Styela clava: one gene and its partners. The protein of the gene in region 1 purifies or fractionates together with the protein of each later gene. This does not show direct contact. Links are inferred from orthologs where the notes say so. Each region holds a gene or a part of one and is shown on either strand. Other genes may lie near its edges.

Region 1 (8,150 bases):
CGTTCATGACGCATGGATATCGGGCTCGTAGAATGGCCGTCGAATATTCTATTCCTCTAATAACGGATGTAAAATGTGCGAAACTGTTTGTTCAAGCTTTGAGAGATGTTGGTGGTGAACCGAAAGTTCAACCCCGTCTTGACTGCATCACTTCCCGCATGTTAATTAAACTTCCTGGTCTTATAGATGTGCACGTCCATGTACGAGAACCTGGACAAACTCATAAGGAAAAATATTCAACTTGTACAGCAAGTGCTTTGGCTGGTGGAATCACCATGATCCTAGCAATGCCTAATACCAGTCCTGCAGTGATTAATGAAGAAACCATAAAACTTACCAAAAGCCTTGCTCAAGATGGTGCGCGATGTGACTATGGAATTTACATGGGAGCAGCGAAAGAAAATGCCTTGGATGCCGCGAGTGCAAGTGAATATGCAATCGCCCTTAAAATGTATTTGAATGACACTTTCACTACGCTAAAAATGGATAACATGACATACTGGATAAAGCATTTTGAAGCGTGGCCTAAAAATCTTCCGATTTGCGTTCATGCTGAAAGGCAAACAATGGCTGCTGTATTATGGTTAGTGGAACTGTACACAAGGCCTGTGCATTTTTGTCATGTTGCTCGCGCAGAAGAAATACAGATGCTTCGCTTGGCTAAAGATCGTGGTTTACCCATTACTTGCGAGGCCGCACCACACCACTTATTCCTGACTGAGGATGACCTGGACACCATAGGTCATGGACGAGGTCGTGTTTGTCCATCACTCGGCACAAAAGCAGATCAGGATGCGTTATGGGAAAATTTGGACATTATTGACTGTTTCGCGACGGATCATGCTCCACATGCAGTTTCTGAAAAGGATAGACAGCAACCATTGCCACCACCTGGATTCCCTGGGCTTGAAACTATGCTACCGCTCCTGCTAAATGCAGTAAATGAAGGGCGATTAACCCTTGAAGACTTAATTTTAAGATTGCACACTAATCCAATGAAAATTTTTAACTTGGCTTCACAACCCAATACCTATGTTGAAGTAGACATGAATGAAGAATGGATCATACCATCTGAGATGCCGTTCACTAGATCTAAATGGACACCATTTGCTGGTATTAAAGTGAGAGGTGCCGTAAAGAGGGTTGTCTTACGTGGAGAGGTTGCATATATTGATGGTAAGGTCCTTTCACGTCCAGGTTCTGGCATGGATGTTAAAAAGACTACTCAACCACCCCCAGTGGTTTCAAATGTACCGAAAACTACAGCCTTGAAGGTTTCTGTTCCAGAAATGCCTTTTACTACTCAGCAAATTAGCCCCAGGCCCGGTACTTCTGAAGGGCAACTCGGATTACCACCTAAAGTACATAGAGTATCAGAACCACCTAGTGGCCTACCAATACCACATTTTGGACCAGTCGGTGATGCAGGTTCTGGTTTATTGATGACAAAGAGAATTGAAAGTGACAAAGGTATGACACCTCAAAATGCAAATGTGCTTAGGGGAGCTATATTGGGAAGTGGAGGAATATCGGGTAATTTGGAAGGTAAACTTCATCCTCAACATGGTTTGGTTGGTTCTGATGTATTGAAGGTTTCCCAATTCACCAAAGAACAACTTCACCATTTATTCAATGTGGCTCATGCTCTTCGTAACATGGTACAAAGAGAGAAATATCTCGGAAACATTCTAAGCGGACGAGTTATGGCATCTTTGTTTTACGAAGCCAGCACGAGAACAATGTGCTCTTTTCATGCTGCAATGCATCGCTTAGGTGGATCCGTTATTGCAATGAACAAAGCGTCATCATCTGTGTTAAAAGGTGAATCTTTAACCGATTCTGTGCAAGTCATGTCTGGTTATTCTGACATCATTGTGTTGCGCCATCCAGAACCAGGAGCTGTAGAAAGAGTTGCAAGGCACGTCAGAAAACCTGTCATCAGCGGGGGAGATGGAGTTGGAGAACACCCTACTCAAGCTTTGCTTGATGTCTTCACTATTCGAGAAGAACTTGGAACAGTCAATGGAATGACTATAACCATGGTTGGAGATTTGAAGAATGGTCGGACTGTTCATTCACTTGCTCGTTTGCTAACTTTGTATCGTGTCAGTCTTCGCTATATTTCTCCAGAATCATTGGAAATGCCTAAAGACACTTGCGACTACGTCACATCCAGAGGAATTCCACAACGTGTTTATTCGTCTCTTGAAGAAGCTTTGCCTGATACTGATGTTCTGTACATGACTAGGATTCAAAAAGAACGTTTTCAGTCGAACGAAGCATATGAAAAAGCAGTCGGAAAATTTGTGCTCACTCCACATTTGATGACAAAAGCTAAGCAAAACATGGTGGTCATGCACCCACTACCAAGACTTGGTGAGATCAAAGAATCTGTTGACAGTGATCCTAGAGCTGCTTACTTCCGCCAGGCCGAGTGTGGACTGTATATCAGAATGGCATTGTTGTGCATGGTTCTTGGAAAGTATTGATTGTAAATCTTTTGATAAACCTGACATTTTTATCATTGTGTCTCTTCCCTTGCTTTTTTCTGTAGATATTATGTCTTTTTGTTGCTAATGTTTGAATTTGTAAGATGAGTTGTGATAATCATTAAAAAGATTGATTGTGAACAAATTTGAAATCTAATGTAACCATTTTTTGATCAATCATACTCGAAGGCAGTCATGATAATGTCATATGATATTTCATCTTAGTTTGTGTTTCTTATGCGGAATTTTATAACTCTTCACTTTTTACATGGTTATGATCATTTTGACCTAGTTTGTGTATTTCTGCCATTTTCAAGTCTTCTGCAATGGAACAAAATAATTGCCATATTTTGACATTGATTTTCTGTGGAAATTACACAAGTGTTATATCTTTTTTAGTGTATACATTGTAACCGCTAATCTAAATGCGGTAGAGCATCCAAAAAGTTAACTATATGTATCTACTGAATGTCATAAATGGCAACAATAATTACCAAAACTGAAATTTGATTTAGGCTGTGGCCAAAAAATACATTCCAACCACAAAATATTAGTATCTGTTTTTGTAAAGACAAACTAAATGTGTGAACCCTTGAACTTTACTTCTTTTATTACGGCCTTTGTGTAAACAGTCTACCCTCGAATTTGAAATTTCATGACGACCAAAAATACTAAAACTGTGTGCCTAGTTCAAGTGTAATCATTAAATAAAGATAATTTGATAATATATCATCTCTGCGAATTTGTTCCCCAATCATATCATTACCATCCTTTACTCCCATTATTTCAAAATATTTACCTGAATGATAATTGGACGAAATCAAATCATCAACGGAAATAATGAAAGCAAATGCTGCCTCGCACCATATGGTACTTAATATTTCATTACATTATGTTTAAAAGTGTAATATTGCTTTTGCATCAAATAATGAATTGCCATGTCCAAAACTTTTCTCATATTTCAATTTTTTCCACCTGCCATGACCAAAATAGTGTCAGAAATTTCCATTTCAGTATGCTGCTTTGTGTTTAAATTTTTCTCCCAAGGGCAGGCAGCAAAACCGTAATGATTGTTTTGATTCAAGTAGTACATTATTGGTAGGATTAAAAGTAGAAAATGGTGATGCAACAAAATGTCAAATTTGTTATTAATTTCAATTGAAAGCACATGATATCCAAGCAAAAATCTGATTAGGATCTACCACCTGGCTGAGAAAAGCTGATAACATGACATGAAAACATTAGTGCAAATCACAAATTCTGGTCCTAGTCAGCCTTTGGATTAGTTTAGTATCCAATTGAATGGACTAAACTGGTATTATAGAAATTTTGTGTAAGAAAATTTTGTTTTTTGAACCATTTTTTTTGAATACTCATCAACATGATGGTGAAAATTAATGAGCCAATAAAAAAGTCTTAATATGTTACCCAAATGTGATATTATGTGAAATACCTTGTTTCATGACTTGACCAAATATTCGCATTTTGTAGTAGGGTATTGGTTTCTTATTATTGTGTGAATAATATTGAGACAATATATTGGTAATATCTTACCAATGAACGTGAAATAAGTTTGAATGTTTTGATATTACATGGAAAAGTTATCATTAGGTCCTATCTGACTCTTAATGTGAATCAACACAGGCCAATATTGCATTCATTACAAATAATTCTTCCACAATAGAGCTTTTGCAATATTTACAAATTTTCCACTGCTGCTATTGCTTCTGCCAATTTTTCTATGCTTGCCAACTGTGTGAATTTGTTATCAAATTTTTTTTCTGCATCTCTTGTCATTTCTTTGGTAGTTTCAAACCTCATCGATATGCGGGTGAGGACAAATAGCTGAAAGAAGTGTAGAACTAATGTACGCTTCATCATCGTTTTCTTGTAAGGCTGTATTTAGACTGCATAGTGCAAATGAATTCAAATTAGGAAAGCTTAAGTATGGCTATCTTTAAGGATGATGCTGTTCGCAAGTTCGATTTCAGAAATTTGGATACCGACTGTGTACTGTAGAGCTTGGTGCTCAATGCCACTTCATGTACATTCCCCGATGACTGAAATAATTTTGTGGCTTTTTCGTTTGGGAGTAGCCTATACAAATAGCGATTTTTTTCGATACAAATTTGAATCATCTACAGGGTATGTGCCACCTTTGCGCTAGTCGTCTCCATTTGCTCAAAATAGAAACTCTCTTCGAAACGAATCACGCATAGTATATACCGTAGGTCAGGATAGCTGACTGGAAAGACGAGATTCATATTTGTTATACTCTTCAGGTCCATGAATTAAAATCGAATCTCTAGTTAGACTACCTATCCCACGTCCAACGTTGATTTGAAGTGAGTGGCTTGCCGTAGCCTGCCATGTTATTGGGCGGTTTGTCATATTTCTTTTCCTCTGATAGATATGGAAATAATTCCGTTTGCGAAGCCGCATCACCTCTAGGTCGCCAGGGTATTTTTTGTTAAACGTTCGTTCAAGACTAGACGTTTCGGCCCACGCGTAAAGAATATTTTGAGAGCGCTTATTTGTAACATCATCTTAGGGTGAGTTGTCGCGAGGCGGGAATGTAAATAAGGCGCTTAACACGTGACCAGTGTGTCAACACGTGCCGACATCAGCCGGTTTGTGTTATTGTTTTGCATCTTCAAATTGCTGCATATGCAGAAATACCTAATACTGTAAAAGGAGTTTGTTTAGGCTGTGTTTTTGGTACTTGATATGGAAGTTAAACAAGATTACGACTATGCTGCTGAATATGCAAAAAGCAACAGATCACAGTGCAAAGGATGCAAAAGTTTGATAGCAAAAGATTCTCTCAGAATCGCGTTGATGGTTCAATCTCCCTTTTATGATGGAAGGGTAACTGTTTGTTTTCTGAATTGAATGTAAGAAAAAAGATTGTAACCTACCGAATTCGTTTATCTAATTACTAGCCTACATTGCTAATGAGGCGAAGTAGCCTACACATCCAGAATTAATACTGAATACCGGAATATTGTATTCTGGTATCGCTGTACTGCTGTATGACAAATTCTATCCGAGTAATACCAAATAACTGAATGAAGGAATTCAACAAACTATTACCCCTGTCATGCCAACTACAGGTCTTGGTCAATTCTTTGTTTTATCTTTAAAACATAATATTGACTGAATGTAATCAATGTAGGCTATCTAAAATACTTTATTGCAGTATTGGCTTGAATTTGAGGTTAATTTATTAAATTACATAAAAATTTTGTTTCAGCAACCCAATTGGTATCACTATTCGTGTTTCTTTGGAAAATGTCGTCCAACGAATACTGAAGAAATAAAAAATTTCAACAGTTTACGATTTCCCGATCAAGAAAAAATACAGGCTCAAATTGACGGTTTTGCTAGTGGTGCGAAAACTAGTAAAAAAGGACCAAAGGTACTTGAATTGCATGATTCAGAATGATACAATTCATGGAAAATTGGTAGCCGAAATTATGTTCGGGTTTATTATTGACTGACTATTGTACATATCGTCGTTGTGCCGTACCTCTTTGTCCTGTGTATTGTACTGAAGTTTTTTCGTATATTTCATGTCTGTTGTCCTACTATAATGAATCAGTCTTAGGTCAGTAAGGTCTCGAACATATATCCCGTCTCTGTTATATCCTTTAATTATTTTTGAGGCAAATAAGCAAACATGCGATACCTTTCCCCAGACTGGATTCCATGGCAGATGCACGCCCGAGGGCGCTAGCGCTCAACAAAAATGCACGCGAGCGAATTCAATTCTGCACGCCGAAAATTTGCAATTGCTCACCAATGTAAATCGGTTTAAATAGTTTTTAAATCAATAATCTAGTAATAGAAAGATGCCAAAAAATTACAACTTCACAATTGTCGACTAGTACTAGCTTGCAAGATTTGGCATGACCGAAAAATGCGAAGCAAAAAACCGTATCGTGTTGAATGAGAAAGATCGCCTCCTCACCGTCGCTGGCCAGTTATGGCTTTGATTCAGCGTATTTTTTTATACAATAATTTTACACGGATGTACTGAACAGTACCGGTATATAAAGTCGCACAAACACTCTCAAAATTAGTGACAATAATATAGAAATAATGTTTGGGGTCAAAGGTCAAACGTCCATTTTTGCTATGATTCAACATATTTTGTATCCAATACCGGTAATTTTACGCGGATGTATTGGAAGGTATCTTAGGTCGAAGTCAGTTTCACGCGGGCGCAGTTGTTTTGCACGCCGTGAGCTATAATTGCACGCCCGAAATTCGTATTTGCACGCGGGAATTTCTGATTGCACGCCCGATTTCTCCTTCAAAAAGGCCATGAAATCCAGACAGGACCTTTCCTACTGCTTTATATAATGAGAATAACAGCAATGAGAATAAAAGGCCTACAGTATATTGCAATTTATTTCTGACATTGGAGTATATTTGTTATCGCTGTTGTTTATTATTTCCATTTTACTTCTTATGTTATCAGATAATCTCAAAAACACTCAAGGATTTTGTGGTTCAGTATGCAACATCGAGTCGAAGTACTTGCCGAGGTTGTGATAATAAAATTGAAAAGGATGAAATTAGATTATCTCACAAGGAGAAACATCCAGAAAAACCGCAGGTTCCATATTTAAATATGTTGACAAGCTTAAATTTGTGCTATAATTAGTTAACCATTCAGTTGCTTGGCTGGAATTTCTCTTTATCTTGGAGCCACAGAAAAATGGCAAAATACTACCTGTTGTTCATGATACACAACAAATCAATTTACTATTTGTTTGAGGAAAGGAGGAAAATTTTCTACACAAGCGGAAATTTTATAAAATTTCACTTCGCCAAACTGTTTTTTCCTGATGTTTGATTATACATTTAGCAGATAATTAGTTTTGGGGTTGTTTAAATCAGTCCATCAACTTCCATGTATATTATTTTTAAAATATATTTTTTTTACCCAGCTGGGATTGGTAGATAGATGGCATCATGTTGGATGCTTTCTCAAAAAGAAAGATGACATGGGATGGCAGCAACATTTCACTGCAGAAATGTTAACAGGTTTTAATGGATTAGATGCTGAAGACAAAGCCAGCATTAGGAAATTATTAGCACCTAAGGAGAAACGATCTAAATCAAAAACAGATGCGAGCGCTGCCTCATCTGCCTCTGCTCCAGGTGAACAAAAAATCTGCTTCATAGTGGACAAAAAATTATGGCTTGTCATATTATTCGGGTCAATCTATGTTGGTTCCTTGTAAATAACTCAAATTCTCAGGATTAGTAATGCCTCCTATATTCAATTTTGAATGGAAAGATAGAGCCTATCTTTGAATATGGACAAATTCTTTATTGACAAGAAAGATATTTGTTATCAATTCCACAATTGCATAAAATATTTTTACAGATCCTGCTAAAGAGGAATTGAAAAAGAAAATGAAGAGTCAGTCAATATTGATGTGGAAGAACATTGACAAATTGAAAAAACTCGATATGAGGAAAGATGAATTAATTAGATTGCTAGAATACAATAAACAAAGAGTACCAACTGGAATCGATGCCATTTATCTCGCTATTGGTGATGGAATGACTTTTGGTGCTCTTCCACTTTGTCCAGAATGCAAAGGAAATTTAGTTGTTGGAAGCCACGATTATCACTGTACAGGACAG
Region 2 (8,245 bases), on another chromosome or scaffold:
CATTAAAATCTTGATTGAGTTATTCAGTGTTTATCATGATTTTGTTGTGAGATAGAATCAAATAGATTATTTTAGAACTCCATTTTGAGGCAGAATTCCAGAAACGATCTAATTAATAATTATATATGGGAAATCCCCAACTTCTTCCTGGAATAGAAATATTTAAACAGGTAAAATTCACAGCTTGAAGCAAATGCCATATAAAATGTGCGTGCGTAAATTTACGTGCACCTCTCAAAATATTACAAAACTATAAAAATTCAGGAAATATATTATGAAACTACGAGAGCTAAAATCTTGCATTATGTTGAACGTCAAAAGAAAAATTCCATAATTAAATGTACATAAATTCATCACCTCTTTCCCAGTGCTTATTACACCATTGATCTGTTTAATGACGCCACGACTCAGCATTTTGAAAAGTATGATTCGAGTTCTTGGATCCATGACTTGTTCAATAGTTGCTCGATCCGATTTGTCTTTTACTCGATTTCTGAAAATTATTGGTTGCAGTAAATAAACTTGAAAATTGGTATTGGTGAAAATTGGTGATTCAACATAACATTTTGATATTGATTATCCAATATTTGCTAAAAGAAAAAAATCACATACACTGTTATTAAGAATCAAACCAAGTACCACATGACGCCTTACTTCCCAAAAACAATTTTTTTTATTACCTACCATGGCGCATAAAACAAATGATAGAAGCACATTAAATAAAGGTATTTTTATAGAAAAAAGGGCCACATTGTAGTCTTTGAAAGGGGGTCATGATTCATGAAAGCAAAGTTATGTTACAGCATCACCATGGTATTCAATAGTTTTCAACAAAACTCACTATTTCACTGAAAAATTAGTGAATTAATATTAATTAATAATATTAGTTAATAATATTAATTAATGGAATTCCTGAAAATTGATCATTTTGAAAGAACATTAAATTTAAATCTTCCAGGCACCTCCCAGTTCTTTGATTTAAAAGGAATAAGATATGAGAATGAGAGAAAGTTTTTGAATAAATTTACTTGTTTTCAACCATTCTTTTATCCATTTGTCGAACTTGTGCGAGATTATGTTGCGGAATACTAGGATGCTCATATGCATCAAGATGAATCTTGTCAGAAAATTTTGATAACATTTTATCCACAGGCTAAAAAACAACAAGAAGTTTATACTTTGCTGAGCACTCTATTTTATTTCAACTATTGGTTCTAAAGAGGGATGGCCAAAATTCGAAAATTCACTATCCTGAATACATTCTGATATAATATTTTCGAATTTGGAATATTGACGTTAATTGGGTCCTCTACTTTCGAAGTTAATGGATATTCAAATGAGTTTAAATTTGAAAATACAGAAGGGTTAAGATAAACAGTGATTTTAGTGGTTCTACGTTTTTTGTTGTAGAATTCAAAAAATTCAATGTCTTTTTGGTCATACTATAATATTTCAATTGCTCAAAATGATGGGTTTTCAGATAAAACTAACTAGGCCTATAATATTCCCAAAATAAAATTATTATTCTCTAAAAATAAAATTTTAAATATCATTTATTTCAAATTAATTGGAATATTCAATTCGACTTGGACATCGTCAGATTTAAACCAATATAGTTAGAGAAATAACTGAAATTAATAAGCCTGTCCCTCAGACATTCAGTGAATCGCCATTCAAATGATCTCTTCCTGAAGCTATACATGTGCTTGTGGCAAAATAATAAATGATCACATCCTACTTGATAAGATTGGTTGGAGGAATACTTGGCGCCGTTTCCTCTGCAATTTTCTGTATATATTTCATCCATTTCCATATAGTTATCATCACTCCAATTGTCATCATCATCTGCTATGTTTGTATTTGAATCGATACATCCTTCTTGAATAGGATCTTAAAATAAAGCATTACATAAATAGTTAATTGTATAAGAGACGCAATAAAATAATGGGCTTCATACATGGTGACACACCGATATGGTAATTTTCAAACGCGGTTAAAAGACACACATTGAAAATACACAAAAATCCAACAATCTCCAAAATGACATATCTTGACTGCTGATAGACAAACGACAAAATGTTGTTTATGAGAAAGTTCTATACATTACTCAACTGATCTACACAAGAATGATGTAGAGTCGGCTCAAATTGAAATAGTATGTCAAAGAGAGGATAGGATTTACATAATCATCCTGGATTAATCATATGGCAAACCACGGCCGCTCAGCCAGCTACAGGTCCATGTCAGGTAGGTATGGTATTAGTTAGCCAGTCATATTTGTTTCAGATGCATGGACAAAAACATAATGTAAAACAATGTTTTTCAAAGTGCAGTATTATTACTAGTATTATGACAAAAATTGATAAGACTATTCTAGCTATTGCTCATTTTAATTTGATTATAACACATTGTACTCTTGTATGTGAATCAACTTGCTGATTGAAATGTTAAAATTTCTGAATTTGGGGTAGATTACAAAACAGTCATTGAAGAATGTGAATGAAACAGCGAAGGAAAAAAAAACAATAATAGAGTACCGTAATAACAGAAAGATGATGATGAGTAAAAATAGAAATACTGAAATAATAATTGGCGCAGCGGTGTGGCTCAACGGGCTAAGCGTTAGGAATACGCTCGCCACCGCACCTCTAATTACTCTGCGTGGGTTCGCAGGTTCGAATCCCATGCAGGGATGGTTATGTGCGAGAGGATTGCTGGACTCCTCGCCGTCGTTGGGTGGTTCACGTAACCGCTGGTCGGTTACGGCTTCCTCCACCACCAAGTCCATGCTTCCGAAAAAAATAAAATAAAATACATTAAAACTAATCCCATACCCGACTTGGAATGCTAACCGGACGAGAGGCCGTGGTTCGCCATGTGGATAAGCCGTCTTATCGGCTTTCCTCTCCCCCGGGATAAATATGTAAATCCTATCCTATCCTAATAAAAGTTACAATGAAAAATATAGAAAAATTCACTTTACTAGCTTTACGTGATACCAGCGACTTAGATTATGATACTTATTTATTATTATGACTGAATGCAAAAAAGATGAATGAACTTACTAGTTTTTGTCATCATTTGCAAATATTCCTCCGCCTGGTCCAAATCATCAAACTGCCCCTCCATACCGTAATACTGTACTAAAGGGTTGGCCAACAACAACAAGGATTCTTTTCTAAAACAATTTGACGCTGCCTAACTGAATATCAGATGTGTAGAATGAAAACGATCAGAATACAATATAATAGCCTATATACAAATATTGAAATAGCCTGCTGCACCAGCGTTTTTCAGTCGCGTGTTTTCTTTTGCACATGTTGTGCAATATTTAATTCTCTGAAACACCAGACTTTTACTCATACGCAAGATGACAGTAAAGAATCGTGAATTACAAATCACGATTTTTGGTCACTGATGACAAGCGCGCAGTACGAAGTGAAATCTTTTCATCATTTGTTTGTCTCGTGCAGCTAATTTTTGGTTTGGTCTTGGAGGATGGTGTGAATATGTTTTGTTGATATTGATAGCATGATGTTTAAGTTTATTGTGTAATAAAGTATTTTTTGACAAATCGAGAAAGAGAGAGATTTATTTTTGTAGACCCGACACTCACTTGGCCTTGGGTACGTACCAGCTTACAGACTTCGGTTACCTACATCACATTCATACATCTGTACAACACCAAACATAGATATGTAAAAATTTTGTACATTTGGAGTAGGCTTATAACAGTATGTTGCACCACAAAGGTGAAAAAGTCTCTTGTTCAAAAGTGTTTCTGGGAGTTTCGCGCAGCTGCAAATTAAAAAAAAAAGAAATTGGGATCAATTACTATTTACGCAAAATCTATACCGTAGCTAGTCAGTGTTCATCATGCTTTCTCACTGCATCTGGAAACAAATGATTATATTTATTTCAAATAGTTTTCAAGTCTTAATTTACATGAAAATCTAACTTCTGAACTTGCCAACTTATGGCGTTCAAAAACTTGATCAGATTGAAAAATACATTGCTCACTGGATGTCTTCATCAAGTGAATAATACTTGCCTAACAAACACATACAATGGTTTACTGGTGAATCAAAGCCAAGCTGTATTAACCACCTTCTTAACTCAGCCTTCTAAGGACTTCCACTCATCTGCAATTGATTTCAAATGGGAAGGCAGATATCGAAACTTTTATCATGCTGATTTATACATGAAAACAGGAAAAATGTTGGACATAATAGCCAAGAAAAAGAAAAAATCAAGAATGGATGGAAAGCCACAAATAAAAGGCGTTGTTTTAAGACTTTTAATTAAAAAGCCGAAAAAACCAAACAGTGCGAATAGAAAATGTTGCAAAGTACGGTTAAGTACCGGAAAAGAAATCATTGCTTATATACCCGGCGAAGGACATAATTTACAAGAAAATAACGTTGTTCTCATCGAAGGAAAAGGACGTAAGGATTTAGTCGGAGTTCACCATAAAGTTATTAGAGGAGCACTTGATTGTGCTCATGTTGTTAAGAAAGAACAAGACTAATTTTTGCTATAAAATACTCGCAAATACTAAAGTATGACAGACAATTTGAAACAATTGAGCTCCTCACAAAATATGAAAATAAAAATTACCGTAGGATTATATGAGAGCGTTAGATAGCTTGGAATTTATATTTTGTGACAATAAATAATACTTAACAATGGCCTCAAAATGTTTGTAATGGTTTAAATTCTGACATATTTATGAATCTTTCATACTGTAGTAAAGAAATGTTTTACTTAAAAAAATCTCTCGTAAAAGAACAGCTAGCCTATTTAACTCTTAAGGATTTTGTCGTTCAACGTATGTGATGTTCCATTTTCACAAGGCTTTACTAGTCTTAAAGTATATGTTAATAAACTTCTAATGCCGCCAATGTTTTATTCAACTCACAAAGTTTTTTTGTGAGTTGAACAAACTTTGTCTAAATTTTTCAATATAAAGATTTAATAATATAAAACATAATTCCTGCCATTTCACACAAAATCTTTTCATATAGAGCCGTGCAAAAATTCATCACTTTTTCAATTGAATTTTACCGAATAACTTCCTTACCTAAGTTGTGATTGATGCTGTTTTGTTCTATCTATTCTATATGGTTCAAAATGCTCTTTACAATGTCAAAATCTAAAATACAAAGATATGAAATTTGTTGTTTTGAGATTTACTATTTGCAAATGCATTTCAAGTTGGAACTTCTTATTTTTTTTAATAGGAATTACCACATTGCTTTATCTCTATCTTTCTCAATGTATTTTCAATGTTGCAATTCAACACATGCTCCGATACTTCTACCAGACGGTTCGCCAGTCATCGTTGGGAGATCAGCAGAGACTAAAATACCTGATAAATTGTGTTCAAGAAATCAGTTGGAATTGGTTGCAAATTACAATCAAAAGTAGGTAGGAATGTGTTATATTTTTGCTGTTATAGATACTGATATATTTATGTTTTGTGAAATTATTATTGACGTTATTTGAATATACTTTCTTTTGTGTATAAAGAGACTTTTTTATTTGCCAATGTTTATGAAATCTGTATCAGGCCATACAGGTATTTTTGAGGTACCTATAGATTTATATTTGGAATATATGCTTATTTGAAAAATGGTCATTTAGACGGAAACATTTGATTCTAACTTGTTTCAAATATAGATTGTCCGCTATTGTGTTTTCTTGCCCTGTCAAATTGGTTTGTAAAAATATTTCTGTTGAAAATGTGTCAAGTATATGATCAATGTTTATTGAGACTTTATAAGACGTTTTTAAAATATGTTTAATTATTTAAAATGTTGTCTTGAAAACCACTTTTCTAGAGTGATTTTATTGGCATCACTAAATTTGTTATTTTTGAACATTAGATATGTTATGGTCAAGCAACTTGGCAGTAATGCATCTCAGATAGAAGGGATTGATATCGGACATAGAAAAACTGACAGACTTCATGCAGGACAAACGTTACACGTCGTTGATATGAAATATCCTCACAAGATTGCTATATGTATCCCTAATTCAGGTTTCATTTTCTATCATATAGTGAATTTATTATTATTAGAGAGAAATGCACTATTATAAGGACATGAAGGTTTTACCAGTAGCATACGTTGTTCAATAAACTAGATTGCTGAAAATATGGGGTGAGGATGGAATTTTTTTAAATTTAGAAAAATGTTGGGTAAAAGACAGTACCTTGATGAGCGCAAAAAAAGTGTTTACGCAAATAGTAGTAGAATTTTAAATAACTAACGCTGTTTAGGAAATCATAATATTCGATTAATGTAGGTTTTTGATATTGATTTATCCAGAGTTTACCGTGATAATGACGAAAAACAATTCTTGTCCCAAAAACAGTGACCTGTACTCATATCCCAATGTAAATTTATTTCTCCAATAATTTCAAAGAAACCACATCGAAACTCTTATGTTCTATAATATTTATTCAGGAACTACATCTTCCAATACCAAGAAAACAAAACTACCTCAGGAGGAAAACACATTCAGCAAACGACAAAAAATGACTGAAAAAGTAGCGAAAAATATTTCCGATGAAGAAAACGAAACAAATTCAAATAATAAAAATAATTCAGCACAAAAACCTTCCTATCATTGGAGTCAAGGTTTGAAAGGATCAATGGATGATCCTAGTTTGAGAGTTTCCAAAGATGATAAAGTTGTTGTCATCAAAGATAAATATCCAAAGGTATGTTGATGCTAATATTATATTGCGAACTAAAGTCTGAATTCATAATTTGCATATGGTAAAAATCCATTGCAGATTTCTATTCAATACTCTGTCACACTGTGTACAAAATACACAGGGTACTGGAGGCTGCTCCACAAAACTGAAAATTAGCATAAACGCAGAAAACACAGCTAATCTATGAAAAATTGATGAGAAATATATTACAACTTATATAAGCAAGAAAACTTTGTCTGTATACCAATTTTCAAAAGAATTTGCTCAAAGTGAAGTCTAACACACTCGCTCTCGAGATAAAAGTGAATCATCTTTCTGCTGAAACCCCCTCTGAATCATCTTCTCATCGTTGTTAGGAAATTTCCTTGCAGAAATTTTCAACCATGAATTATTTGAACTCTGACAAAATTTAACATATTAACCCAGTTGAATGAGGAGTTTTGAGAGGAATTTATGGGTGTGTTTTTGAGTGGTGGAATTTTACAGACACTCTCTCATCATAGCTCATATTGAAACTTATATATATAATTCGACTTATAATTAAAACATTGTCTCTAAACCAAGTTTAATCCTAAATATTCAATACATCATGACTTGATTTTGTGTCTATGATGTCATTTTCAGGTTTTCACTACTGTTTCATACATTTTCTAATATTTAATTAATCACAATGCTGTATCCATATCGTCATGGTAACTTGTATCATTACCCATTGATGCCGTGTCACTGACGTTTTTATATTGTGAGCTGCCCATTCTTTCGTTCTGCAAGGACCCTGAAATTCGAATGGTTTGTCAATTATACATTGCAATACAGAAGAATAAAAGAATAAATAAATGTTGATATATAAGTTTCCAACCTTTTTTTTCAAGCGACCCAAATTTTCAAAAAAATAGATTTAGTAAAATCTCGCGACTCAAGTATAATATGTTCAAATACAGACAGACTAGTATTTATATGTTTAATTTTTGTATCTTTTATTAACATTTTTATTGTATATACTCACCTATTTCTAATTCTATTCCAATTTGATCAATATTGTCTGAGTCAAAAACTGATCCACATTCACTGGAAGCATTCGATGTATTCTTTTCATTAGCAATATTTTCCAAAATGTTTTCATCTTCATTGGGACTTCTGTTTGTATTTGGAAAACCATCTTCGCAATCTTCTGTGCTTTTGTTCTCTTGGTTCAGAGGAGACATTTCTTGCATTTCAACATCTTCCGTCTCTTTTGTGATTTCTGATTCAAGCCTGCTTCCTCTTTTTCTGTATAAATAATAAATGAGATGCATAATGGCTATATTCACATGAAAATTTTAGTATCTAGAACAGACATGTGCAGATTACGACTCGCGGGTCAAATCCGGCCAACTGGGTAATTCAATCTGGCCCGCCTGATGCTGCCACAACTTAACTGGAACCAAATTTTGATGATTTAGTTAAAAATAGGTCAAGGGATTTGTTAAGATTGCGGATAAATTTTGGCACGTGGTTCATTGTTTTCCACTGTTGCTTTTGTAA
Region 3 (8,094 bases), on another chromosome or scaffold:
TGCAACCGATATTGAGGTATTTTTCGAATATTTTTTATTATACCGAAAAAACAACCGGGGCATTGCGTCGGTTGGCCCTATTGACGCGCCGCCACTGGGTTGTACTGATTGAGAAGTCGAAAACTCAACTAGGTGCATTAAATACTTAGTCATAAATAGAAACTCTACAGCAGGAGATATTGATGTTTAAAGTACAATGTTTTCTATCTCATACCCCTAAGAAAATGTATGAAACTGAGGAAGCAGAACGCGCTATGGTCTATGAACCCTCTGGACTATGAATCTTCCCCCAACCGTTGACCCCCGAAAATTCTTCCTATACCTATAGGCGCGGCGATGTGGCTCAACGGGCTAAGCGTTAGGAATACGCTCGCCACCGCACCTCTAATTACTCTGCATGGGTTCGCATGGGAGAGTATTGCTGGACTCCTCGCCGTCGTTGGGTGGTTCACGTAACCGCTGGTCGGTTACGGCTTCCTCCGACCTCCACCACCAAGTCCATGCTTCCGAAAACAAACAATATAACTAATCCCATACCAAACTTGGAATGGTAACCGGACGAGAGGCCGTGGTTCGCCATATGGATAAGCCGTATAAATATGTAAATCCTATCCTACTTTACCATTGCAAAATTTTCAAGGCTAAATTTTAAGAGTGCTTCTGCGAGTTGGCGCCTGTAAAATGTGGTATGTTTCAAACCATGATTATGATTCATTGCATACAACAATCTGTTTTTTGAAAGTACCGGTGAAGAATTTTAGCCTAGTCTATCACAGCTATTTCTACACAAATCTTTTATTACTGCAGTTAAATTAAAACTCCTAGGAAGACATAGTGATCAATAAATTATCTGATTTATATTTAGGTTTCCGGAACACAACCGAAAACTAACGAGTTCAAAAACGCGAAAACGAGGTAATGTTTACAGACCACGCTTGAAAATCTGTCTGAGTGAGAAAAGTGTCTGAGCTGATGCGAAAAGGGAGCATTGTTACGTCACTTTTTGCATCTTGCTGATTGGCCAATGTCACGCAGTAAACAAGGAAGTCGATGATCGGGGAAAAGTCCATTAGGTACACGAGTGACTCCACGAAAATCTGAGATATATCGCTTTTCTGTTGTCCAAATACACTTAAAATACGTTATATATTTTGCACTTAACATCGCATATCTTATGTACATATGGCACATCGGGCGTTTGCGTTTTTTATGGTTTTTGCCGCCAAACTTGATGTGGCCGAGTTTTAGCATAGAACGCTATTCGCGGGAAACTGCGATACTTGCTTTTGTTTGGGAAAAGGCTTGGATATTTTGCGTTCATATTCAGGTCATTATTGCAGGAAGTATAAGTTTATTTCGACTCCATATTCAGCATAACAATAAAATGATTGATAAAAACAATTGGGTAAAAACTGATTATGAAAAATCAGGAGAGCAAACAAAATATCTGAATCTTTAAAACGTACATACGGTACCGTAAATGCTGAAATGGGCTATTCAAAGTGACACTACAGGACAATTCCAGAAATTTTGCAAGTTGTTGGATGCTATATAATTTTACATTTTCAGCTACATGTTTTGTTTCATTGTCCAATCAGTTGCTTTATTGAATATGTAAAAAATTGCACAAAAGTTACACCCAGGACTTACGGTACTTGGTAGATAAAAAAATATATTGTGACACTACAGGACGGCAAATCCACCATGCACTACCAGTACGTTGTGTTGTGCTGTAAATTTTTGCGATGGTACAGTAGGAGCCCATAATATTTTCTGGTGCAGTAGCTGAACTACCCCTATATGTGGGGTCTCTTTCATGTGTCAATCCTAACCCCCACCTGACTATGCCATCCAAATATTACGTCTCTACGACGTCACAGTGACGTGATAGAGACCTTCAAACTATACGAACTTTCATCCAAGACGCGCACCCGAAATCAAACGGCTATTTCTCTCGTTTTTACGTCGCGACGATTCCAGTATGAGAGAGATCGCTGATGTTAGTAAGTTCTTTATCGTCGGCGCCGATGCCATTTCTTGCGATAGTACGTATATTTAACAAGCTCTATGACATGATTGTGATGTAATTTTTGGATGGCATAGTCTGGTGGGGGTTAGGATTGACATGTCAAAAAATTGTGATGCTACGCCCACTAGAAGTATGTTGGGTAAGAAACTACACGAGACCCTCTATGTGTTGCTCAAGTTACTTAATGTAACACTGTAAATCCATGCCAATAATGTGCATATTGTATGTGACACTACAGGACATTTTTCCACTTCGAAATAGCGGCCTCTATCATCTCTTAAAATTCTGGTAATAAATTGTTAAATGGGTAAAGAAATGTCCTACAGCACTGCAAACATTTAAACTTTATTAACTTAAACCCAGTGCGTCAATTCCATATGAAAAAACTGTACCACACAATTATACCAAAATTTCTACATTTCAGGCCATTTTTTATAAACCATCAAAAACCGGGTCTAGTATAGTTTAGTACCACAAGTACTTCCAGCGGGCATAGAATAACGAATTTTGCATATGTTATTCCTAACCCCCACCTGACTATGCCATCCAAAAATTACGTCACCAACACGTCATGGGGCTTGCCAAATTATAATTACGATCGCCCGAAATGGCATCTGCGCCGTTGACAACGAACTCGCTAAAGCCGGCGATCTCTCTCCTATCGTGAACGCTGTGACGAGTAAACGAGAGAAATCGCTTGCTCGATTTCGGGTGATTGTCTGCACGTTTTGGACAACCTTCCGCATACTTTGATGGACCATATTACGCTACTGTGATGTCGGAATGACGTAATTTTTCGGTGACGTAGTCAGATGGGGGTTAGGATTGACATGTGCAAAAATTATTGAGCCAGGCCAATTAGAAGTGCATGTGGTACTAAACTATACCAGACCCCAAAAACCTAGGTGAAATTTTAAATTGTTCGATGAAATGAATGCAGTCCAATAAAATTCCAATGTCTTTTGATATCAGAAATAAAAAAAATTACTTTCACTACACTTTTTAAAAAATTGATGGAATTCAACTTTTGCTTGGAATGGCCCAAATAAATATGTAAATCCTATCCTAATCAGAGCTGCTGTGGCGGTAGCGGTACAATACACAGATCATTACAACTTTTGGATCTGACTAAGCAAACTGCCTGAATAACAAACAAAAATGTAATGTCAGAATGTGGGTCAACAGCTAGATAACCTCTGCAGAGTTCTTTCACCTATGTTTTTTTTTATTTCATTTTGTTAATAATGTATGTTTGAGTTACGCATGATGATGAATAAATAATATTACTACCAGTATACCACTTCCCAACTTGACTATCAAAAGGAAATTTCTAGGTTGGTGATATTAATTACAACTACTGATATTCAGATTTATCATAAATTTATTATTTATACTCTGTCGTTATTTTCTTCTATGCATTAACTTTGCTGTTTACAAGCAAATCTTGTGAAATGGTCGATGGCAAATATTGGATTGTCCTATTATATACAGAAGTAAAGAAAAAAAATTTTATTCAATATTTTTTTTATATATTACCTCAAATTCAATATGAAAATTGCTCTATTGTTGCACAATGCTGAGTGAAGAATTGAGCAAATCCTGTTATCAGTTAGTTTTTTGGTTTTTGCTAGTTGCGGCTAAAACAATCAAAGTACAGACGTAAAGGCTGTAGGGCACAGTTCTCTGATTTCGAAATGTCCAGACATTTGGTTTAAAAAAACAAACAATCTATTTGCCATCGTGATCCTAGCGAAATTGCGGCGAAATATTTTACCCACAAATCCCAGCGGTGTTCACTTCAAAAATCTGACATTAAAGTGCCATTACCGCGACATATAGAAATATACATTGCTGAGAATCAGAGTGTATTCAAGAAATTCAATTTCGATTTTCTAAAAGATCTCTTATTAGGAGTAGAAATATTTTTATTGTACATTAAAGTATATTAAATTTACTTGTCTTTAGAATTTAAAAAATAATACGCATCCACATTAGTTCAAAAGATAAAAGGGCGTTTCGACGTATTAATCTGCGATTCTCTAAAATATCCCACATTAGGAGTAGAAATATTTTTATTGTACATTAAAGTAGAATAAATTTACTTGTCTTTATAATTTAGAAAATAACAAGTTTTCTGGCTGACTGTATGTTAAAACTTGTAACAGTATAAAAATATTTTTCCCAGTATGCATTCATGCAGTGAAGATGTGTTTGTTTTTTGCATCATATTGGTCAGTTAATAGAAATAAAGCTGTGCTCATGTTCTATATATGTTATGGTCCATAGTCAATTTGTAAATTCGGGAATTTTACATTATTATTGATAGGAAAATTTAGGCTACATTCTACCACATACGAACAAACAGGTTGGTATATTGGCGTAAGTTTAGCTTAGTATATCTTCATGCATCTGCTATTTATATTGTGCTCTTCTTGGTCATTATGGTTTTAAATTCTGTTACACTCTTAGTTTTACAGTTTAGGTCTTATTGTGTTATTGCACTCAGTATTAAAATTTTGAAGAATGCTGAAAAGTTCAACCCAAAATGATGAGAAAAAACACAAAAAGGCTTGTATTCAACCTACCATTGCTGATATGTTCAAGAGGAAAGCAAAACGAAAAGCATCTGAAGAAGATAAAGAAAATGGTCCAAATGATAATTCATTCAACGATGAGGTCGTAAATAACACCTCAGATATGAAACGACTGAAGACAAGTATTGAAAATAATGTAATATGTGAGAATGGAACTACTGAATTGAAATCACACAAAGAAACAGAATTACAAAAAGACAAAATCGTTGGGGAAATTTTGCAAAAAAAGACACCAAATACAATGAAATGTAAATATTGCAGACAGTTACTTGACGAAGTTGAAATGTTTGAAGGTGACACACCAGATGCGAGTGAAGAATTCATTGCTCTCACTCACGAATCATTGGCACTGTTTGTGGGCAATGAAGAGACTGGCCGTCCTCAGCACAAGATCACTAATTTCAGTGTTTATGACAAGAATACACATTTGTGTCCGTTTGATGCTGGTTTGATTGAGAAAAATGTTGAGCTATTTTTCAGTGGTGTTATCAAACCTGTATATATTGAAGATGCAGGTGTTGAAAATGGAGTGCTTGGAACCAGGTTGGGACCGATCAATGAGTGGTGGACTGCAGGTTTTGATGGTGGTGAAGCAGCTCTCGTTGGATTTTCAACTGCATTTGCTGATTATTATTTGATGGAGGCTAGTGCTTCTTATTCTAAGCTATGGAATAGCATGCAAGAGAAAATTTATATGAGTAAAATCGTTATTGAGTTCCTTACTGATACAATTGAGGCAGTGTATGAGGATTTAGTAAATCGTATCCAGACTTGTGTTCCACCTGCCAACTTAAATATCACTCATTTTACAGAGGACAGTCTCCTACGCCATGCACAATTTGTTGTTGAACAAGTAGATTCTTTTGATGGATCCAGGGAAGAAGATGAAGATTCATTACTATCTCATCCATGCATGCGTGACCTTGTCCATCTAGCTGGTGTTACCCTGGGTAAACGTAAAGCAGTACGAAAGCGTATTATCAAAGACAAAAAGGCTGTAAAAGCTTCATCAACAAAAGCTACAACAACGCCTCTTGTGGCCTTCATGACAGAGTCGTTTTTTCAAGGAACAGTTGAGACAAAAGTCAGTGCACCACGACGAAAACGATGTGGTGCTTGTGAACGATGCTTATTGCCAGATTGTGGAAATTGTAATGCTTGTAAAGATATGGTGAAATTTGGTGGAAAGGGAATCGCCAAACAATCTTGTGTGGAAAGAAAATGTCAAGAAATGATATATGATGTAGACAAGGGTTCAGAAACTGAAGAAGAAAAAGATGTAATTGTTGAAAAATTACCAAAAAGTCCGAAATCGAAGGGTCTACGAAAATCAAAAAATCTTCACAAGTGGGTTGGTGATCCCTATGTCCCATTTGGGACTGAAACTTCCAATAAAATATATTATGGCACTGCCAAAATTAATGAAGATGAAATAACTCTTGGTGATTGTGTCTCTGTACTTCCTCAGGATCAAAGTAAACATCTTTTCATTGGTAAGATTATTCAAATGTGGGAGGAACCTGACAAAACAAAAATGATTCATATTGATTGGTACATTCGTGCTACCGAATCAATTCTAGGCGAGGTTGCAGATAAAGGAGAATTATTTTTAATTGACGATTGTGAAGACACAAAACTTGAGTTTGTGAATAGTAAGGTAAATGTTGAAATGAAAAGCACTCCTGAGAATTGGTTTACGCTTGGAGGTGAAATTCCTGAAAAGCATAACTGCGATGGAATCAGCGATTTCTTCTGTCAGAAATGGTATGATTCTGATATTGCTCGATTTGAGGACCCCCCGATCTCTTCATGCAAAGAGGGGGAATGTGAATCATGTGCCAGACTCAATGCTAAAGATGAAGCTGGTGTTCCAAAAGCAATTGATGAAATAGAACGGACCGAAAAGAAAGTTGTTTACAATAAAGTACAATATGATGGAGTGAGCTATTCTGTTGGTGATTCTGTATATCTTCCAGTGGAGGCATATGGATTCGATTTCGTTCAGCCAAACAATAATGAAGAAAAGCCAAAAAAGAACAAGAAAATAGACTTTGAAAAATACCCTGAATATTATCGCAAATCTACAAAACACATCAAGGGGAGTAATGAAAACGTCCCTGAGCCTTTTCGGGTTGCAAGAATAGTATCAATATTTTCTAATATGAAGACAAATGGCAATCCAAGTGATCAAGTCAAAATTCAAGTTAGAAAGTTTTATCGGTCTGAAAACACACATAAAGGTATCAGCGGTAGCTACTCTGCTGATTTAAATCTTCTCTTCTGGTCTAGTGAAAAGACTATCGTGAACTTCACTGAAGTTCAAGGTAAATGTAGAGTTGAACATGAGTTAGACCTGAAATCAAGTATCGTAGAATACACAGCTGGTGGTTCTGACAGATTTTATTTCAGTGAATCATATGATGCAGATGACAAGTCATTTGATGATCCACCACTGTCTGCAAGACGCATTGGACAATCAACAGGAAAGAAAACAAATGTTAAAGTTCATGCTAAAAAGATTAAAGTTACTGATGAAAAAGAGAAGATTGATGATGAATGTGAATCAAAACACAGTTTTAAAAAATTGCGTACATTGGATGTATTTGCTGGTTGTGGTGGCCTCTCGGAAGGTTTTCACCAAGCGGGTATTGCAGAATCTTGCTATGCTGTTGAGCTTTGGGATCCAGCTGCTCAGGCATATCGTTTGAATAATCCCGGTGCTACTGTTTTTACAGAAGATTGTAATGTCCTTCTTCGACGTATCATGGATGGGGAAGAAAAAAATTCATGCGGGCAAACTCTTCCACGAAAAGGGGATGTGGAACTTTTGTGTGGTGGTCCACCTTGTCAAGGATTCAGTGGAATGAATAGGTTCAACTCAAGAGAATATTCTCGTTTCAAGAATTCTCTAGTCGTATCTTACTTGTCGTACTGTGATTATCTTCGCCCAAAGTTTTTCTTGCTTGAAAATGTGCGCAATTTTGTTTCTTTTAAAAATTGTATGGTGTTAAAATTGACTCTGGCTTGTCTAGTGAGAATGGGTTATCAATGCACGTTCGGAGTGTTGCAAGCTGGTCACTATGGTGTTGCTCAGACAAGACGACGAGCAATCATTCTTGCTGCAGCACCAGGAGAAAAACTACCTCTGTATCCTGAGCCTCTACATGGATTTTCGCTGAAAAGTGGATCTTTGACTGCACAGGTTGATGATAAACGTTACATGAATAACATCACACGTCTTAGCTCTGCACCTTTTCGAACTATCACAGTACGAGATGCGATGTCTGATTTGCCGAAAATTCCAAACGGATACTCTAAATTGGAAAGGCAGTATGATTCAGAACCATTGAGTGACTTTCAACGAAAAATTCGTGGCACAAGCTACCAGCCTATTCTACGGGATCATATATGTAAAGAGATGAGTCCACTTGTCGCAGCTAGAATGTCTTATATTCCTCATGCACCTGGTTC
Region 4 (8,394 bases), on another chromosome or scaffold:
AACAAAGATCGCGCGAAACTCGTGTTATTAAAAGCGGCGTGAATTGCAGTCTGATTGCTGTCAGTTTAGTTTCGCTGCGTGGGAGGGAGGATAGTGCGGAGGTTAGGAGTGATCAGGTTTTGGAGATTGGGCGAATCGAATGTTGCTACAGGGGCGGTGACTCCTCTATGAGCCGGGGCCACGGCCAATGGGCCGCAGAGGAGTCACCACTTCCACTCGAATGTTGGGTGCTTTTGCGGAACTGGTAGAGTTAGTTTGTTTTGCAATATTTGAATTACTTTACAGCTAGGTTCGGCAATCACTTTTCTCAGTGGGCCAGTTATAGATTACCGTAAAAGCGCCTAACTTCGGACAAAATTACTATATTTTCGTCAATAACTTGGCCATTTATTGTCCAAAAGGTGCCAAAATTGCTCGGTAAAACATTCGTGCGGTAATTTACATTCCCTGCAAATTTCGGTTCAATTGGACTATTTTTACTATTGAAATAATCGATATTTCTTGCCATCTGACCGTTATCCTTCACTGCCCTAACTTCGGACAGTCATTTTCTTCACTGCGTAACCGCGACGCACAGAGAGAAAGAGGCTTCCGATGCGGATTGCGTAATCACGTCGTTGCGTGAAGATAAGACGTTCGATCGTCGTCGTAACGTAACATTGACGTCACGACCAAAATGCATTAATTGAAACTTCCGTCGTCCTATGTTTACATCTTTCGTTCGTTATTTGCGATACTTCAGATGAGTATAATAACACGTTAGTCATTTTAATCAGAAAATGCATACGTAAATATATCTGATGCAAACCGTTTCAATCCACAATGAAGTATTTTAACAGGCTTCTATCGAAGTCTTTGAAGTATTAATATTCTCGACGGATAGCTTTTTTTTTATCGTGCGCGGTTATCTTTATAATTGATAATTTATATCAAACACACGGTAAATCCGATTGTAAAGTTTAATTTAAAATTCAACTTAATCTTGTAAACATGTAGGTCCCGTTTATTTGTTGGAGATTAAATTTATTTTTAATTTCGAGTGAAAAAAATTCAGCCAGGCCGTATTCAATAACTGTCATTTCGACTACTAATCATAAAATAATGGTTAAGTTAGTGCACTGTGCCATATGGACGTTGGAATTATCATAGTTTTATATGTTCGATTTTAACGTCATCGATTAAGTGTGACATGTATTTTCATTAATGTAATTTTGGCATATATTCATACATGACCGAACAAAATACAAAAATATTACATTGGAACGCCGTCTTTATCTTAACGGAAATTGTCATATTGGCTCCGTTGTGTCTGGCGTCAAAATTCATTTCCGCGACGCAGTGTGACGTCGTGTCGGAAGTGAGCGAAAAATAATCTACGTGAGGTTGACGTAATTTTTGACGCTGCGTGAAATCTTAATATTCTTACGGAATTTATAATTCAGAATTTTAGATTTTATTTGAATCTCGTACGACATCTTGCGATCACTCAAATAAATTATATACATTGTTGTCGCCCTCTACCGAATGATGGTATTTTGACGATGATAGCTTCAGTAGGAGCGACGCTCTGCGCCGTTGAATGCCGGGCAGTCAATTTTCGGCAAAATTTCCGTTTTTTTACCAAAAAAATAATTATGCAACATTAAAAAAGATGAGAATAGATGTAGATATAACAGCGCAACCTATAATAATTGAAATTAGCAATATACGGCGCGTTTTAGCCAAGATATGGCCGTTCAAAAATTTTGTCCGAAGTTAGGAACTGTCCGAAGTTAGGCGCTTTTACGGTACCGTACGGTATGATGTTTTTTGATAAATGCAAAACCCTAATTTATACCTCAACTTCTTGTACAGTACCAAGAGAGTGAGTAGATGGTTATCGTTTCCCTGTTTCATGTCGTTTGGGAATGAAATTATTGTACTGCAGTACTGTAACCTGGTACGGTAAGTGACTTAAGATATAATATGTGGGGAATTACTGTATGCTGTACCTGTACGGTAGCTGATAATAAGAAAATTTATATTCATAGAAACTATTTTTAATTTCAGCAGGCACAAGTGGGCAGGATCCGACCCGTGGGTCGTAATTTCAGACAGTGCAATATATTTCATGACCTCACTGCTAGCGCACTACTCGGATTATTATTAGATTATTCACACATATTCCAGTATTCATAAATATTTCATCACTTTGTGAAAAATATAAATTCACTCTTAAATCATTCATCCATCACTTATATTATTGTCTTTAGATTATATGAACGCATGTTTTTATATATGTTTATATTTTTAATTCGCCCAATTGTGACTTGCATCTAGCCATCAGCAATCATGACTTCAAGTGAGATAATTAAAGAGAAATTGCAAAAAGGTTTGCAGGCAACTTATATTGAAATAGACGATTTGTCGCCCAATATGTGTGGAACTAGTTATAACGTTGTTGTTGTATCGGAACTCTTTGTTGGAAAGTCACGTCTTGAGCAGCAAAGGATGGTCAATGACATTATTGCAGAAGAGATGAAATCGATTCACGCTTTTACACAAAAAACTTATACTCCAACAGCATGGGAAAAAAAGAAAAATGCGTAGTTGCTGAAATAGTATGTTACCATCTCCCACACTTGGGATAGCTGTTAATATTTTCTTTCGCAATTTTTAAATCAGATTTTTAATCATATAATCATAAGGTAGTATCGAAAATAGTCAACTCAAATCTAGGTATGACTGAATGTACACTATCTGAATTAGGTATTTCTGCGAAATATACAAAAGACTTTCTCACAAAGCTAGGAAACCAATGGCACACTGCTAAAAGATTACATACTCCTCGTCTATTCTCTTTACTTGCATTATCACAAATAATTGAAGAATTTCAAGGAGCTGGAATGACGGCTTTGTCTTGTATTGATGCAGTTCCAGGTCTCGGAATGTCAGGAATGATTTGGGCGAAACACTTCGGAAAAAATGTTTCAGTTACAATCAATTTACATGACGAGATTTATATGAAAAATTGTTTGGAAAAAAATCTGAAAAATAACATTCTTGAAAACAATGTATCTATTGTATGTAGGAATCCGAATTCTTTACTACACGAATCAAATAAAAGATACAACATGATATATCTAGAAGCATATGGAACATGTGTAAGGTACCTTGAGGCTGCTTGTTTCTCTATATGCCACAGAGGCGTATTATGTATTGTTTCAACAGACCTATGCACTTTATATAATAAATGTCCAGAAAGAGTGCCAAGAATCTATCATGGGCAAGCAATGAAACATGAATATGGTAAAGAACTTGCTGTAAGGCTCATTTTAGCAAATGTAGCTCGTTCTGCGAGCAGATGGGACCGTGGAATATCTGTACTTTCATCTTATGTGGATGAAAATTCCATTGTTCTTTTAGTTAGAATTTTAAAAGGTGCCACGCATGCTAACAAATCATTGGATTTTATACAAAGAGTCGCTCATTGCAGAGTTTGTCATTATCGTCAAGTTTTGAATGAAAAATTGTACTATGTTCCAATGCCAGATATCACCGACTGCTTTTGCAAAGATGGAGGAATCACAGATGAAAATGTACAACCACCGATTGTAATGTTAGGTCCAGCATATATTGGACCCATATTCGACACTAATTTTGTGATTCAAATGGCTAAAACTCTTACCCAAATTGATATTAAAAATAAACTTGTGCCAGTCATGCAAAATATGACATTGGAAAGTTTGTGTCTTGATTCTGATGAGCAAGAAGTTGAAATTATTAAACTTTACAAGGAAACAATAGAAACTCAAAAAATGTCTAAAAGCCAAGATGCTAATGAGCCGTCTGCTAAAAGATTGAAACCAAATGATAGTTTGGAGTCGATTATTCAAAAATATTCTTCGGAAACTTGTCCGATTTTCTACTATATTGTTGAGTCTCACACTAAAAAAGGGTCAAATCCTTTGAGAATTCTTGCTTCTATTCAAAAGTTGCGGTCGGTTGGATTTCGGGCTTGTGGAACGTTGTTCGATCCAAGGGGAGTTAGGACTACTGCCTCTCCCAGAGAATTTAGAAAAGTAATTAACAGCATAACATCAGACTGAAAATATTGACATCTTTTGTCTTGTGATTTTAATGAAAGCTGTAAAAAAATTTCATTTTATGCACAATAGAACAAAAATTTTTCATCTTTGCTGTGAACCGAAACTAGTAGTTGCTTAACCTTATGTGAAAAAATTCGTGCAGGATCCAAAATGCCTTACCTCAATGGCCCGCTTGTCAGTGAATTTTGTAGTTTATTTTTATGGAGCATTGATATGAGTTGAATAGTTACATATTTACCTGAATTGGGTGTTTTTAGATTTTATTCCATTATACCTTCTCAAGCTCTCAAAATGTGTTTTGTAGTTATAGATTTTATTTGAACTATATTTTGTCACGATCCTACCATAGGTATTAGACATTAGTAAAACACATCAATTAACACCCAATTTATAATTTGAACTATAAAATTGTATAAAGCAGTGGTTTCCAACCTTTTTCGCTATATTCCTCTTTTCGCGCATATTTTGGAACTACTGTATTTATTCAATCAGTAATGAATCATTAGCTTGTATTATGTGTGTATAAATAAGCATTAGAGTAAGAATATTAGCAGTTTTACTAGACCAAAATCACAGCACAAAGTTCCTTCGGATTGGGAAACGCTGGTATAAAGTATTATTGGAAATGAAAGTATCATTATTTGAGGAGTCTACTTATACTGTCTCTTTTCCCGTATTATCTTGTAAATTTTGAAATGTGAAGTTCCATGTAGAAGTGCTTAATGTGAAGAAAATATTTTGGGCTTTTTATTAAATTGCTCCATTTATTTAAAATGTTTAGAAGAATAGTGAATAGTTTAGGTTAGCTTTTGTAAAGATGTCACCTGATACAACAACAGAAAGTAGTGATGAGGAATGGGAAGAAGTTGAAGAATCTCAGAAATATGAAGAAGAAGAAAAAGATGTTGTTCCATCTGCAAATGTGGAGGTGATTACTATTTGATATCTTGAATACAAATGTTTTATCTAGTCTTGTATTTTAGTCCTTGTTTCTTTTGAGTTATTTTGGCCACTAGATTGGTTGCTTGCAGTCATTTACACTATAATATGGTCCTTCCCCTTCAGTGTTGAGAGTATCAATAAAGATAGATTTTAACTCTACTACTATTCTCTCCACTCTCAGTTGGAGGCTCTCAATTTTGCTTTGAGTAATCTAGTATAGGCCCTACTAGAAATTATGTTTAATATGAAAATTTTTCTACTTTATATATATATATATATATGATGTACCTGTGTTTTATTTGTATATTCTCATATTATCACCTTGCAGTAATCAATAATAAATCCTAAAATAGTCCCTCAATCTCAAATTCTTGAACAACTACTTTGAGTATTGAGTATCAGTCAAATTATACAAATTAATTTTGCATAGATATTGAATATGTTTTTGATTATAGGTTGAGTTGGTTCCAGATGCTGTGAAGAAGAAACTAAAAAGAGAAAAATGGGATCGAGAAATGGTTGAAACATGCATTAGGCAAGCAGCTAAGAGAATTGACAAAGAAATGCAAACTGTTATGCATAAGGTAAACAAATTTGGTTTCAGCTCAGAAAATATGATGCATTCTGATGGAAAAAGTATTTTTGTATGATGATCTGAATTTCAATACAAATTTTCTAAAGTGTCCCATCATTCAAAAGACAAAGGATGATTGACGAAGCTCAATCTTTAAAAATTCAATTTCATTCAATTTAACTAATTTTCCAGGATAATTTGAATTCTTGATACCAGGATAACACAGCAGGGAATAGCCTAAATATGATTATATTTAGTAAACCTCTTATATGAGTGGTTCCTATTTTTTTATATTTCCTGGGAATGTCTACTCAAATGTGATACGGCACACAAAAACTAGCCCCCGCTCGTTTGTCATTTCATCTACTGCGGTTACCACGGTTACCCCACCAGTGGTGCCTGGAGTTGTTCTCTCGAATCACCATGAACGACACTGGAAACACCAGGTTGCTTAATCGTACCGACATGGCTGATTTCTGTCATTAAATATTGTTCCACTTCCTTTACTTGTTTTTTTATGAGATTCCCTCAAAGATGACGCTGTTTGATAACCGTGACTGGTTTATCGCGTCTCCCATCACATTATTTTATATTTTACCTTACTTTTGTATACTTTCGTATTTTCGGTATGTGAAAAAAAACATTACTGATTACTGACTCATTGAAATTATCAAAATATAGGTTCATCTTATGTGTCTCTTAACAATGGGAATGCGTGTTAACCGAATTTGCAACAATGAAGAACTCCTATCAAGAACATATTCTTTACTTCCCAAGAAGTACCATGATGTCAAGCCGAAACATGTCTCTGCAATGTTCTTAACAAGGTTTGAATCGTTTTGTAATGCTAAAATCTATTCTTTTCAGCTGTTCATTTTTTTCATTTTTCATCCATATTATCATTTCAAAAGTTTTAAGTTGAGTTTATAGAGTTGAAAGTTCAATGTTTAATTTTAAAATTTGAATTTGTGTCTCACTGCCGCCAAATTGCATTTAGACTGAGAGTAAATTCAGATTTACTTTTGCACAGGGTACCAGTGCATGTAACTCTTATTTCTTCTTTTTTTCTCTTTTTTCTTCACTATCTGTGTTTAATTCAGGTTTATACAAGATATGCAAAAAATATTTGAGACTGAAAATGGGGTGGAAAAGCTTCTTGGTTTTGGAATGCTCAGATTACCATTCTTGGAGACTAAGATGAAAAAAGCTCTGGAAGCACAAAAAGTCAAGTTCAAGTTGGATTGGGTGTTGGTAAGTCTTCAGTTTTATGACTTTTGCATAGATATCCATTATTCATAAACAAACATGGAATTGCTTAGGGTAGAACACATTGATTTCTATCTTTTCAATTGAAGAGGGGAAGAATATTCAATTCCAACTTCCAAGATATACTGTTATTTGGTTGCAATCTCACATAAGCGAGTAAAATTTCAGATAGTTTTTCAGGTTACTATCACCTATTTCATAGATGTCCATGGATATACTTTACAAGTTTTTTTATTCTCAGGTTTTTGTCCTTGCATTGCGAGCCATGGGATTGAATACAAGGCTAGTGGTATCATTACAGCCTCTTCCTTTGAAAACACCAATAGAGAAACGAGATGTGAGTATTTTATGAAGAATTTCGAGGCTCCTAATTAGTTCAAAATGAAAAATATTAAATGACTGTAAATAAGAAAAATCACAACCGTGCTTGATGATATTACTTGATACTTTTTCAGGAGAGCGTTGCTGCGATCAAATCGAAAATTTACGCATCAAAGAAAAATAAAACTAAAGATATTCCGCTTTTAATGGACAAGGACAGCAAGGTGATACTTCAACTCGATGGAGCGAATGATTCTCCGCAGAAACGACGAGTTACTCGATCATCCACTGCGGGAGTGAAAGTTAACAATGAAGAATCCGTCAATCCTGTTAAAGCTCGGAAACGAAAAATAGCTAAAAAAGATTCCGATGAAGAAAATGCTGCTCCTTTAAAAACAAGGAGAAGTAAATTGAACAAAGTTGAAGAAAAAATTACCGAAGTATCGACAGCTGTAGCAAAGAAAGAAGTAACGAAAAAATTGAGAAAATCAAAGAAAGATACAACTGCAGTCCAAGAAAGTAAAACTAAGAAAGAAAATGTATCAAAACAAAAAGTATGTTACTTACAGCGATTCAGAAGTAACTAGCCAATTATATTTATCCAAGATTGTCTTGCTTAACAAGTTATGAATATTCACAGATTGAAGAAAATAAAGTGGACGAGACGCCACTGGTGAAACAACTCACAAATACCAAAGCTAAAAGAAAATTAAGAACTACTGTTAAACGAAAGATTAATGTGGTATGATCTTGACATTTGCTTTTTATTGAAATTTATTTCGAACAAAGCTAAGGTAGATTGTTTATTGGGTCTAGGAATTTATATTCCGCTTGACCTGCTATTGAGCATTATTCACTTTATTTATCACACACTAGGCGAAATGATGCGCTTGGTCAAAGCACTGGACGTGTAGAAAGTTAAACGAAAAATCTATAACATACAGTGTCCTCACATAGCTTGGGCAACATCCTATCTCAAATTGCACATCTTAATGGAAGCAATTCATCATTTTCTTTTCAGAAAAGTGATGTGGACTCAGATAACGAAGATGCTGATTTTCAACCCATTGTTAATTCACCCAGTTCTAGTGAAAATGACAGTGATTTTGAACCTAAAATGGAAACAAAGAAATCACCAGCTAAGAAAAGCCGTAGCAATGTCCAAGGAAATACTACTAAAAAGACGTCTGCAGGTATCTATTT

What was found.
Region 2: the proteins of poly [ADP-ribose] polymerase 1-like (region 1) and aprataxin-like purify together in Homo sapiens (co-immunoprecipitation; 3 studies listed by BioGRID and IntAct, with this or other methods). This does not show direct contact. The link is inferred for Styela clava from reciprocal best matches to the Homo sapiens genes PARP1 and APTX.
Region 3: the proteins of poly [ADP-ribose] polymerase 1-like (region 1) and DNA (cytosine-5)-methyltransferase 1-like purify together in Homo sapiens (affinity purification with western blotting; 4 studies listed by BioGRID and IntAct, with this or other methods). This does not show direct contact. The link is inferred for Styela clava from reciprocal best matches to the Homo sapiens genes PARP1 and DNMT1.
Region 4: the proteins of poly [ADP-ribose] polymerase 1-like (region 1) and DNA repair protein complementing XP-C cells homolog purify together in Homo sapiens (affinity purification with mass spectrometry; 4 studies listed by BioGRID and IntAct, counting the BioPlex papers as one, with this or other methods). This does not show direct contact. The link is inferred for Styela clava from reciprocal best matches to the Homo sapiens genes PARP1 and XPC.

Annotation. Positions count from the first base shown.
Region 1 is NC_135251.1:21,237,370-21,245,519, reverse strand, and holds the start of poly [ADP-ribose] polymerase 1-like, read left to right. Parts: upstream 1-4,965; 5' UTR 4,966-5,216; coding exon 5,217-5,357; intron 5,358-5,742; coding exon 5,743-5,907; intron 5,908-6,972; coding exon 6,973-7,110; intron 7,111-7,444; coding exon 7,445-7,658; intron 7,659-7,887; coding exon 7,888-8,150. Other genes in the region: multifunctional protein CAD-like, read left to right, coding at 1-2,489. UniProt on the Homo sapiens protein: Poly-ADP-ribosyltransferase that mediates poly-ADP-ribosylation of proteins and plays a key role in DNA repair.
Region 2 is NC_135264.1:11,771,226-11,779,470, reverse strand, and holds the start of aprataxin-like, read left to right. Parts: upstream 1-5,094; coding exon 5,095-5,423; intron 5,424-5,885; coding exon 5,886-6,040; intron 6,041-6,467; coding exon 6,468-6,724; intron 6,725-6,730; exon of another isoform or gene 6,731-7,386; coding exon of another isoform or gene 7,387-7,496; intron 7,497-7,727; coding exon of another isoform or gene 7,728-7,990; intron 7,991-8,245. Other genes in the region: serine/threonine-protein kinase RIO1-like, read right to left, coding at 358-493, 1,029-1,153, 1,739-1,890, 3,066-3,129; small ribosomal subunit protein uS12-like, read left to right, coding at 3,977-4,528; uncharacterized protein LOC120333828, read right to left, coding at 7,387-7,496, 7,728-7,990. UniProt on the Homo sapiens protein: DNA-binding protein involved in single-strand DNA break repair, double-strand DNA break repair and base excision repair.
Region 3 is NC_135257.1:3,599,748-3,607,841, forward strand, and holds the start of DNA (cytosine-5)-methyltransferase 1-like, read left to right. Parts: upstream 1-4,502; 5' UTR 4,503-4,552; coding exon 4,553-8,094. UniProt on the Homo sapiens protein: Methylates CpG residues. Preferentially methylates hemimethylated DNA. Associates with DNA replication sites in S phase maintaining the methylation pattern in the newly synthesized strand, that is essential for epigenetic inheritance.
Region 4 is NC_135258.1:14,477,586-14,485,979, forward strand, and holds the start of DNA repair protein complementing XP-C cells homolog, read left to right. Parts: upstream 1-4,809; 5' UTR 4,810-4,905; coding exon 4,906-5,016; intron 5,017-5,485; coding exon 5,486-5,614; intron 5,615-6,285; coding exon 6,286-6,431; intron 6,432-6,704; coding exon 6,705-6,855; intron 6,856-7,111; coding exon 7,112-7,207; intron 7,208-7,325; coding exon 7,326-7,745; coding exon of another isoform or gene 7,746-7,747; intron 7,748-7,831; coding exon 7,832-7,933; intron 7,934-8,212; coding exon 8,213-8,384; intron 8,385-8,394. Other genes in the region: tRNA (guanine(27)-N(2))-dimethyltransferase-like, read left to right, coding at 2,721-4,088. UniProt on the Homo sapiens protein: Involved in global genome nucleotide excision repair (GG-NER) by acting as damage sensing and DNA-binding factor component of the XPC complex. Has only a low DNA repair activity by itself which is stimulated by RAD23B and RAD23A.